Arabidopsis thaliana: one gene and its partner. The protein of the gene in region 2 interacts with the protein of the main gene of each other region in a pairwise test. Each region holds a gene or a part of one and is shown on either strand. Other genes may lie near its edges.

Evidence for each region.
Region 1: the proteins of AT2G39530 (region 2) and AT2G40460 interact in a protein complementation assay, tested with the Arabidopsis thaliana proteins (one large-scale study listed by BioGRID).

The regions. Positions count from the first base shown.
Region 1 is NC_003071.7:16,894,868-16,902,301, reverse strand, and holds AT2G40460 (Major facilitator superfamily protein), read right to left. Parts: upstream 5,396-7,434; 5' UTR 5,180-5,395; coding exon 5,074-5,179; intron 4,959-5,073; coding exon 4,741-4,958; intron 3,277-4,740; coding exon 2,720-3,276; intron 2,002-2,719; coding exon 1,131-2,001; 3' UTR 632-1,130; downstream 1-631.
Region 2 is NC_003071.7:16,497,732-16,501,452, forward strand, and holds AT2G39530 (Uncharacterized protein family (UPF0497)), read right to left. Parts: upstream 1,794-3,721; 5' UTR 1,671-1,793; coding exon 1,492-1,670; intron 1,388-1,491; coding exon 1,261-1,387; intron 1,159-1,260; coding exon 928-1,158; 3' UTR 633-927; downstream 1-632. Other genes in the region: AT2G39540 (Gibberellin-regulated family protein), read left to right, coding at 3,135-3,216, 3,329-3,510.

The DNA of each region.
Region 1 (7,434 bases), 400 kb from region 2:
TAGCCTGTCATTACTCATTAATCTATCAAACGTATATTAATATTGTTTAGTTGGTAAGTACGTAGTACTAGTAGTAGTATTTAGCATTCATATTACTGATAATTAAATGAGGTTGAAATATCGTTTTATTGATGTACAAAGTAGAAGTCAATTGGTCTACAAAAAATTTCATTTAACCTTGATGAAGATGCATTTTGAATTTTGGGTAGCTTAAATCAAATTAGTGAGTCATACATACGAAACTGAGTTTCCCTTTTTTTTTTTCCTTTTTTCTTTATATTGTTGGTTATTCTAGAATCCAAGCAACATAATGTTACTTAACTCTATAAAAAAGCTACTTGCACCAAATTTTGTGTGTAGCTGGCTTTGGATCTGCAGTTACGTGTAATATATATAGTGTTTCTTGGTTGGGTGGAAGTGTCAGCTGTATATTACCATTAATTGATTAATTCATTTAGTTTGGTTTTTTTATTTTTATTTTCGGAGTTTCCTTTGCGTATCGAATTAATCAAAATCCAGCTTCTTGCTGATCGGATTCATGCAAAAAATGTTCGGTGGGGATGTGTTTTGCATAATGGCAAAATAAAATTAATGTTAGAAAATAACCAATTTGAAAATTAAATATTTGACCCAACAAAAACAATTTTTTCGTAAATTAATCACCAAAGTATCGATATAATTGGCCACAGACAGAATTGTAATTTGAAGACCATTGACTAGAGCTTTTGTGGTTGGACGGCTTATCTAGGGTCAAAGATAGAATCCTTATAGGAGATGACGATGTGATGTTTTGGGTTTGGTCCAATGTCACGGTTGCTTCATACTATGGTACTTAATGATCCCTTGTCCTAAGGGAAAATACTATTCCACTTGGTACTTATACTTTCAAAGTTAACTTGCTTAACAGATCTATATCGTTGGTTGAATTTAAGACCAACACCATGTGAATTCGCCAATGTTCAAGTATATGTGACCAAAGGAAATCAATAGGTTCAACAGGTAGAACATAACCATTGAACTTGAGTAAACCTTGGTACTTCCAACTTCAAGTTTTATTCATCATGTTAATTAGAATAGCACAACTTCAAATTTTCTTGAAAACCATATATACACATCTCTCATTGCTATAATTAGATACTAAGAGGAGATGTGTCTAAGGCTTTGGCCTCCATTTGAACACATCCTCCTCCACTAAACTCCTTGGTGTCATCATCACTCTTGTAAACATACTTACTCGCTGCCCACACGAAAAGTCCCATGTTCACTATCGAAATCACCACTAGAAATCCATAATAGTAATCAAGCCTCGAATCATTCAAATTATTCCCAATCCAACTCTTCCCTCCACCTTTACTCGTGATCTTATCAATCATTGTCACCAAAAAGCTGTTCAAGAAATTCCCAAGACCGATTCCACTCGTGAAAAACGTTGTTCCAAGGCTCTGCATCTCCTCAGGTGACTGATCATAGAAAAACTCAAGCAAACCAATTGCGTTAAACACATCCCCAATGCCTAGAAGAGAGTACTGAGGGAGCAACCAGAAAATGCTCATAGGCACAACTTGTGTCGGACTAGTTATGTGAAATTCCTTTATCACGCGCATCCTCTTGACCTCCACAGCCGAAGCAATCGCGATTGCAACAATTTGTATCGCAAACCCTACCCCTAGTCTTTGGAGTAAAGTAATCCCTCTAGGGTTTCCGGTTTTCTTGCGCATGAAGGGAACAAAGGATTGGTCGTACATGGGCACAGAGAGAAGCATGGAGAGCGTAACAAAGCTTCCCAATGAAGCCGCGGGGATCTGGAAGTTGGATCCAATTTTTCGGTCCAGCGTGGTCCCTTGTTTGACGAAGAGAGTGTTGACTTGTGCCCACAAGGTGCTTGGGATCAAAGTGACAAGCCATATAAAGATAAGTCCTAGCACACGCTTTGCCACTTCCACTTTTGTCACCGTACATGGCACTCTTGAACTTGTCTTAATGGCCGCTTTATCCAAGAACCTGTAATTGAAATATCCATATTATTTTTACTTTATCTAAATGACTAAATCTATGAATTGAATTGTCATTGAAAATGACTTTGTGACTTTTCTTGTCCATGATATTTTCTAATTCTAGATGAGATGCAATAAACTTATTTTAGCTTTTAAACTGCTATGAAGGAATAGGTCCAATCAGTTCCAAAAACTTGTTTGATACTTCATATGCCAACAAGTAAAGCTACGCACATTTAAAATTGTATCAATTGTGATATCTTCAGTTTTCTATATTAGGTAGTTTTTGTAATGTGAAATGATTTCGGCACGAAACTGTAGTGGGGTGATATTGGAGAACACATTAACGTGTAGAAGGTGAGAACTGGGGACCATCTACTAACAAAATTCTACAGAGCAGGTACACTAGATTAGATATATTAATAAAAAAAAGAAAACAACATTGTATATATATTCCACTTTATAACCCACCACCAGGCACCAGGCACCACACACAAAAGGCATAATTTTGATAGATTTTTTATCCTATGGTTCTATTGGCCTATGATTCTCTGTCAAGGAGTCAAACTACAATCATACTCTCTTGGTTTTTGATTCGCTATATATATAGTGGTGAGGACAAAAAAAGATTATCCGTTTATCTAGAACCAGAATTTGAGATAAGTTTATTATATGAGAAAATAATTAAGAGAAATAAATTCTTTAATGAGATATGCAACACTGACCTGAAGACGGGCGTGTGATGAACTTGATGCTTACCATTGCTTTTGTAATAATGAGAGTCAAGCTCATAAAGCTCCAAGTGGTCATCAGGACACTGAAGCTTTCGGTTTTTGAATGCCGCGATAGGAACTTGAACCAAATCTTTCGCCAAATTGTCTGTTTTGATAACCTTATGCCTGTAAAATGGTGTTCCAATATAGAACACAACGAGAGAAACCAAGAGTCCTACGGTAGGGATGCCATAACCTAAACCCCATCCGAGATTCTCTTGGATGTAGACGAGCCCCAATGTCGCAAACAACGCGCCTAAGAAAGAGCTAAACATCCACCAATTGAAGAATGAAACCTTTTGCTTTTTTTCTTCAATGCTATAACTGTCGAATTGGTCCGCTCCAAATGTGGAAATGTTAGGTTTTGTTCCACCGGCTCCAATAGCTATGGTATAGAGGGATATGTAGAAAAATGTTACTTGTAACGAGGAGGCCTTGTTGCATACCCCGTTTTCGCATGTCGGTCTTAGGGATTTTACTGTTACCGCCATTGTCAAGAGAATCATCCCCTGCAAACAGAATAACGATCTTATAAGGAATCATCTTCGGTATTTTAATCCAAATGTTATTGTACGTTTCAAATGTACGTATAGGAATTGTTTTTTTTTTCCCGTCAAATTGGTTTTTGTTTATAATGTCTCAAATACTCTTTAAAATTGTAAAAATATTATTTTAAAAGAAAATATTTTAAAAAAAAATAAAGAAAATTTTTTCGCTTGGCGGTATAAAATCCTAGCAACTACATACATTTTGAAGTTAGAAGACATTTCATGAATCATGAGTCATGTCTCTCAATCTGACGGAACTAAATGTTCTTCACTTGGATAAACTTGGTTATTAGTCATTACTTGGTTGAGATGTGATCTTTAAAAGTCATAAGTTTTTATTTTTCTCTAGATACTGATAAGATATGTATCTGGTTTGCTAAACTAATAAAATTGAAGTAAAGTGATAATCGTGGGTCCTTTTGAATATGTGTGGAAAACCACGTATCCAAGGATCTAACAGAAATCAAATCTCAAAAAAAAAAAAAAAGGATGGAGTTAGCTTTCGTTAACTGGTGCCTTCAAGTCTGACACGTAGTCGACATTTTGATCAACGTGGTCGACATTAAGCCTGTGGTTATTTTAAATCTAATCATCTCAGACTTATCAGTGCCAAATGATTAGAAACGTACCCAAGTTTTGTAAGAAACACCTAACATCACTTTACTAACACTAATTAATGACTCTTACTTATAGAAACATGGCCTATAAAAACAACTAAACAAGGCCTATATATTTCTTTCTACTTAGATGTCACATCAGTGCTGTCAAACAGCCGTCAAGGTGATGTAAAAAATCCTCTGCTATATAAGAAGGAAAAACAGTCTGCTTAGCATTCATACCAATTTTTCCCCTACATATATGGAAATTTCTGATCCTTCAAGATAATATTCTCATACTATAATATAAATCCACTTTAACAGAAACCACACAGTTGTCCTCAAGTATTATAACCAGTGGAGAAAAATGCAAATAGTTTTTGTGGCAGTGGATCTTCTTGGGATAAATGCTCACGGACCCTATCTGATCGTACGTCCAAAACGCGACAAACACACACATCTATACTTCTTTATCATGACCAACCCAAAATTTTTTGAGTAAATATATATTCATTGATATGAAAAATCTGAAACATAGAATATTTAAGAGAAGATAAAAGTAGAAATTGACGAGTCCATTAAAACTTTAATAAGCTTAAGAAAAAAAAATAGGTCATACATAATGTAGACTCTGCTCTTATTAATTACTGATATCATTTTCGTATAATTATATTTCACCAGTTCAGATTTTTGAACTATTTTTAAATTAATATATTTTGTTTGGTTCATTTCTAAGTTCGATTTCTTCAAAAAGTTGTAAAAGTCTGGTTTAGTTGAGTTTAATTCGTATTTTAACCATAAGAAATAAAAGAGACTGTAGAATTAATACCAGGACGTAGATGAGAGAGGAGGCAGTAAAAGTCCAGAAGCGACCGATGTATGAGTCAGCGATGTAAGCTCCGGCTATGGGAGTGATCCAAACCGCACCGGACCAATTATTCACATTTCTAACCGAAGAGATCGTATCTTCGTGAAGTCTTTTAGTCAAATAATTCACTAAGTTCGACGCTATTCCATAAAACGCCATCCTCTCAAACGCTTCATACCCTTCTCACACACACACACACAAAGACACAAAAGACTACATAAAGATTTATGTTTTTATTTTGTTCAAGTTATCTATAGACGAAAATAGTTATCTGAGGTTTGCGAAAACATATACCGAGGAGGAAAGAGCAAGCTCTCCAACGACCGGTCTTGGAGGCGAGGACGGGACGGCCTTGGAGGTCGACGGTGCCATCTTGTGTGTAAACTTTTGCAGCCTCCATTAATTGTTTTTTCTGTTTATATCAAAATATTTTTTTTTTAAAGAATTGTTTTTTTATGGGATGTATTTGGTAATGTTGTGAGAGTTGAGAGAGGTCAGGACTGTGAAGAGAGAGACTAAACGGAAATAATTTAAGGTTGCATTGTGTTTTTTTTTAATGGGATTTTGAACAAACAAAATGAGAACAAGTCTTAGAGATTTGCTTAGTTTAGCTATTGCCTTACTCTCCTCAAGTATGTGATATATATAAAGCCACCGCTAGATTTTTTGTTTCCTTTTCATTAATGTCATCATCATCACATTGGTCATGTAACCACCACCATCATCATCATCAGTATAAATCCTTGGATGGCATATACAATTTTTTAATTGGTTCATTGTTTATTATAGTTTAAATATGGAAGAAAATACAACAAAAGTCCTATGTATATTTGGCCGAAAATTCTGGTCAGCAACAGGTATCCAATGATAAGAATCACTCAATAAACCTATGCCATCCTCTCAACAACAACAACAAAAACTTAATAAGCCGTTTTGAATTTATCATATTCTTTTGTATTACTTTATGCCGTACTATGCTTGATGAAATAAGCGTTTTTTTGTTTTGTTTTTTTCTGTTAATGATGGTAAGCGTATTCGTATGAAATTGACCGACAATACTAAAAATACTCATAGGAAGAGGCGTATAAAAGTTGTATAAAAAAATATCATAAATATTTCCAACAAAAAATGTCTAAATTGTATATAAATTTTAGTTCTCTACGTTTACAAGTATATATAGTTTCGTCTTTCGTCATATTAAAAAACTCATGGTGTTTTCTACTAGATTTTCAGAATAAAGTGTAATACAGTAAGATTTCACATTACTGCGAGTTAGAGTCTACATTTTCCGAGTTACTTAATTAGGTCTCCTAATTCTATGAGCTACTTAAGCCTCATCACCAGAAATACATCCAACCATTTTAATACTACACGTGCAGTATATCTAAGGAGCACATGGAAAAAATAAATGCACTATTGAATTGGATTTGTACGAAATACAAATAAAGTTTTCGTTATTTTTTTATAGTGAAACTAATAAGAACGGAAAGTTGAATACTATTTCATTCGGGTTTCAAGTTCTTTTTGATACTATGATCTTCAAAATTGAGTCCTATGAATCAAGACAAAATATCCGGATATTCTCGTCATAGAACAACTGTATGTATGAGGATGACCTTTTTCACTTGCAGTAGTTGCCGACCTAGAAATTTATGACAAATCAAGTATCTTGGATCAATAGTAAAATTTCTGAGACATTCCATTCTGTTTCAAGCATGAACAAATGAAGCTTGCAGTGAAAATCAAAAGCGACTGTGGTCCAAAGACGCGTTTGATGCATCCAATAAAATTGGAAGATGGAGAAAAAAAATATAGTGGTCCAAAAAGCTTGCGATATCTTGCCCCAAGATTTAAGCCTTGATGTCCCTTGTCATTACAATTAGAGAAAGGGAAACATGCATGGAACTTAATGCATCCACTTTAATATTGAAGCAATATCTTACCTTTCTGTAATTTCGTAAACTCATCACTAAACTAGAAACATTTTTACATTTACTTCTTTCATATCACAAACATATCATGATATAGTTATTATATATATTCTTTTTAACATGACACTTAATAGGATGTTTATTTTTTACTTTTGGCATAACTCAGATTAAGTTGTTATAGTTTAGTAAATAGTATTAAAACGAGGTATATTAATAATTTCAAATAATTTTAAAATATGTCAAAACTATTTTTCTAGGACACAGAATTAATGGAAATTTTTTCTTTTACATTGGGTCCATTTCGAAATCCCAAAATTGTTTGAAAAAATGACAAAAATGGTTTTGTTATGTGATGAGCTCAGATATTATGGAGCGTGAGATGCTGAGAACAACACGTAACAAACATAACCAAAGAAGGAATGGAAAATAAATATTTCCAACCATTTCTGAGATTTGACTTTACCGTAAAAGACTGCCCAATAAAATGACATTGGGTCCAAAATCCAAATAATGAAACCACGTGTTTTTTTAGATGCAATAACTCAATGGTATCATTGTGTTACAAAGGATTGTCAAACTTATTTCTAACCCAAATGTAGCAAAACAATGTGTGAGATTACGTTACATAAATAAAGTTTGTTAATTGTTAACCATAACACAAACTCTAAAGTTCATAATTCCGGATATTCAACAATAATACTGAATCTTTTCATGATATATTCTG
Region 2 (3,721 bases):
CAAATGCACCCTTTTAGGCTTTTATACTAGTTGTTATGATACAAGATTACAAGACACGGAATGCGCGAATTAACTAAGCAAAAATATTAAATAATGATTATGATTACATTGACTATAACGATAGGAGTTGAATTTTATTAATGTCAACGTCAACCATTTTTAAAAAAAATCATAGAAATGCATATTGTTTATTTTTTATTATTATTTAATTGCAAATTTGCAATCGTGAAGGACTCAAAAGCCGTATATAAACGAATTATGTAAATTACTAATAACATTTTTGGAAAAAATGTGAATATTCAGGATATAAAAATAGTATAATACTTAAATTATTGTTCGTACAAGAATGACACGTAACTGCAAACGCGTTGACTTCGTAGGCCTAATTAAAACGCTTATGAAATTGCCAATAAACACACACGGGAAAATAGTAACATCCAAACATTGCATGGAAAAGAGTTTAAGGTTTGTGAAGGAATTTGAGAATTTTCTTCCTTACTTTTTTTTTCTTTCTGAAATTAAAATTGTTTTCTTCCTTCAATTTTGATGAAGAAGAAAACACATAAACGTTGCAAAACGACACTATACATGTTGACTTTTGGTAGGCGTAAATGATTCGTTTTACTGGCAAATTATGAAAAGTTAGGGCTTTTTAATAACATTTTTTAATGATCCGACACAATAATAATTTTGCATGATGATTAGAAATAAGAAGACTTGACCTTATAGATAGGTTGGTTACATATGTTTTCACAGAAATAGTACTCCCAAACATAGCCTTGCGAGATATGTAGCCAACAAAGTAATATATGTATTTGGTAACGTGACCCAAAGAATCTTAAAAAGCGTATAATCTTATTAAATTCCACGATTGGTGAATTAAAATGAAGGAAGCATAATGTAGGGTTACAATGATCATATGTGTGTTTATGAGACTGGAACTGGTCGTTTGGAAAGAGCAAGGGATGAGAAAACGGATAAAACGGCAAGAGAGACGAATGCGAAGAGAAGAAGACTGGCCGATGCATATCCTTTACTAAAGAACTTATCCACTGGATCAGTCGAATCAAATTCTATTAATGCTATGTATGTGTCTTTCAAATCTTTGCTCACTCCAAATCCTGCCGCCGAACCCGTTGCAAGTAAATATGATATTACCTGTCCAAATTTGAACCAGATTTTGTTATATATCAATATACAGTATGACTTATAATTTTAATGTATTTAAAGATAGTATTTCCTCAAAAATGATATAAATACCTTATCACCGTAGAAATCGAACTGATAAGTAAGAGGATGTGTTTTTCCGGTGGCAAATTGGGAGATTGTTAAGAACAGTTGTACAACGGCGTAAACTAGTCCGATGACGGCAGCGGACAGCATGTATCTTCATGAATGATGAATCCAAACATATATGCAAAAAATAGGTAAAAATAGTTAGTCAAATATTGGATACAAAATTTTCACAGAGAAGGTAAATAATTTATTTACCTATAAGCATAGACATCGTTGAAAGGCAATTTGATAGACGTGCTTGAAATTTCGAGAGTGACGGTGTTGGTGCTGATGAGGACCACCGTTATGAGGAGGAAAGCCGCGGTCAAAACCCTAAGGAGAAGGAGCACTGTCCTCAACGTAACGGACGGTGGTGCCGGAGGTGGTGGAGCCATATAAATCTTCCCGTTAATTAATCGTTACGCTTTAAAGAGTAAGATGAAAATGATTAAGGCTAAGATGTTCGAATGCAAGACATGGAATGTTGACTAATTTATAGCCAAAATTTACGTTGACTCGAGTTCGAAGAGTTGATTTTTGTTACATTATAATATTTAACCATAATGTAAAATATATATATGCACAAATTGTATTCTTCAATTCGTGCTGGAGCTTGCTGGAACTCGATCACCACTTCTAAGTTCTAACTTAGTAATTGAAGTCGTGATATATTTTATTGACATATGGTATTAATTTAGATTTAAAACAGTTTTTAGCCAAGGAATTGTAAGTCTAAATTCATAGTCTTCGTAGCCAGAAGGCAACCTTTGATATTATTTTTATTATCTATATCTTTTTTTTTTTTTGGACAAAGCTTGTATCTACATCTAACTGAGAAAAAAGAATGTTTTTCTTTGTCATATTATTGTTCTCAAATTCTGATTATACAACTTTTGACATCAAATCATAATTATGCAATCAAACAAACAAACCAAAAAAGAAATATGCGACTAGCGTAATTTTTGCGCCACAATGTATTTTATATGCATAGCAAATCATTAGAATCCTAGTACAACTGTACAAAGTTCGAGTTGGACACCTAGCAGCGATAATTCAAACCATGTTTCCATCTAATGTAACAGTATAGACTTAGTCGTCTATCAATTTTAGGTGCAATCATTCGTATTAAAAAGAAAACTTAGTTTTTTTTTCATACTGTTTAGAGGAACAAAATACATGTAACAAGAGGTACATTTTTGTTTGAGTTAAATTTTACAATTTTTGAATATATAGTCAACGAAGACCGAAAAAGTTGAGTCAATTCCTAAGAATCAATCTGCCACATGCATCGCCGTGCTTGAAGGGCGGCTCACTGTCTTCTTGCTTATTACTACAGTTAAATCTTTTTTTTTCAACATCTAATGCTATACTTTTAATCTATAATATATATTAGATGTGACTTAAGGAATTTCAATAGTTATACATAATAATAAAAATGAATATTTGTTAGTGTTACAAACTGTGTGTCATAATCATCATTCATCAGGATTTCAAAAATATCTCAAAATTGTTGTAAGTTCATGTAATTCGAAATGAATGTGCACTATAAGAAATAAATTTACAATTTAAAAAATGCTTCAATACTGGTTACAAAAAAAACTTTCAATACTAGTATTATACTACTTACTTAGTCAAAAAAGTTTATGAATATGGTTTTTTCTGTATGTTAATATTTTTAACTGAAAATAGTACCGACATAACAAGTAAAGATATCTTTATTTAAAGTAACAAACATTAATTTCACTTCAAATTCTCACTATTAAGGATTCCTCTCTTTGTAGCCACATTTCACCATCACTACTTTGTTTTCGCATATCTTTAAATTTTGTATACGTAGCAAACTCTTTCGAGAAAACAAGATGAAGCTCGTGGTTGTACAATTCTTCATAATCTCTCTTCTCCTCACATCTTCATTTTCTGTACTTTCAAGTGCTGATTCGTGTAAGTGTTTACTTAATCTAGTTAATAATTGTAGGTCATGCATGTATCATTTTGAAACAAGTTTTCTGAAATTCTAAGATTTTACATATATATGTGATAAATGAATTAGCAGCATGCGGTGGAAAGTGCAATGTGAGATGCTCAAAGGCAGGACAACATGAAGAATGCCTCAAGTACTGCAATATATGTTGCCAGAAGTGTAATTGTGTTCCTTCGGGAACTTTTGGACACAAAGATGAATGTCCTTGCTACCGTGATATGAAAAACTCCAAAGGTGGATCCAAGTGTCCTTGAACGTTCTTTGAAGATCCTCATCACATACATATAACTTCTACGTACTATATGTGTGGAAATATTAATCACATTCTATGTTTGAAATATATAAAATAAAATCAATGCCCCCAATGTTGGAAATCTTCAATGTGATATCTTAATATATATCACGAATAAAAAAGTTTAAATTTCTCAATCTCATTTTTAATCTTTAATCTAATTTCTTAACACA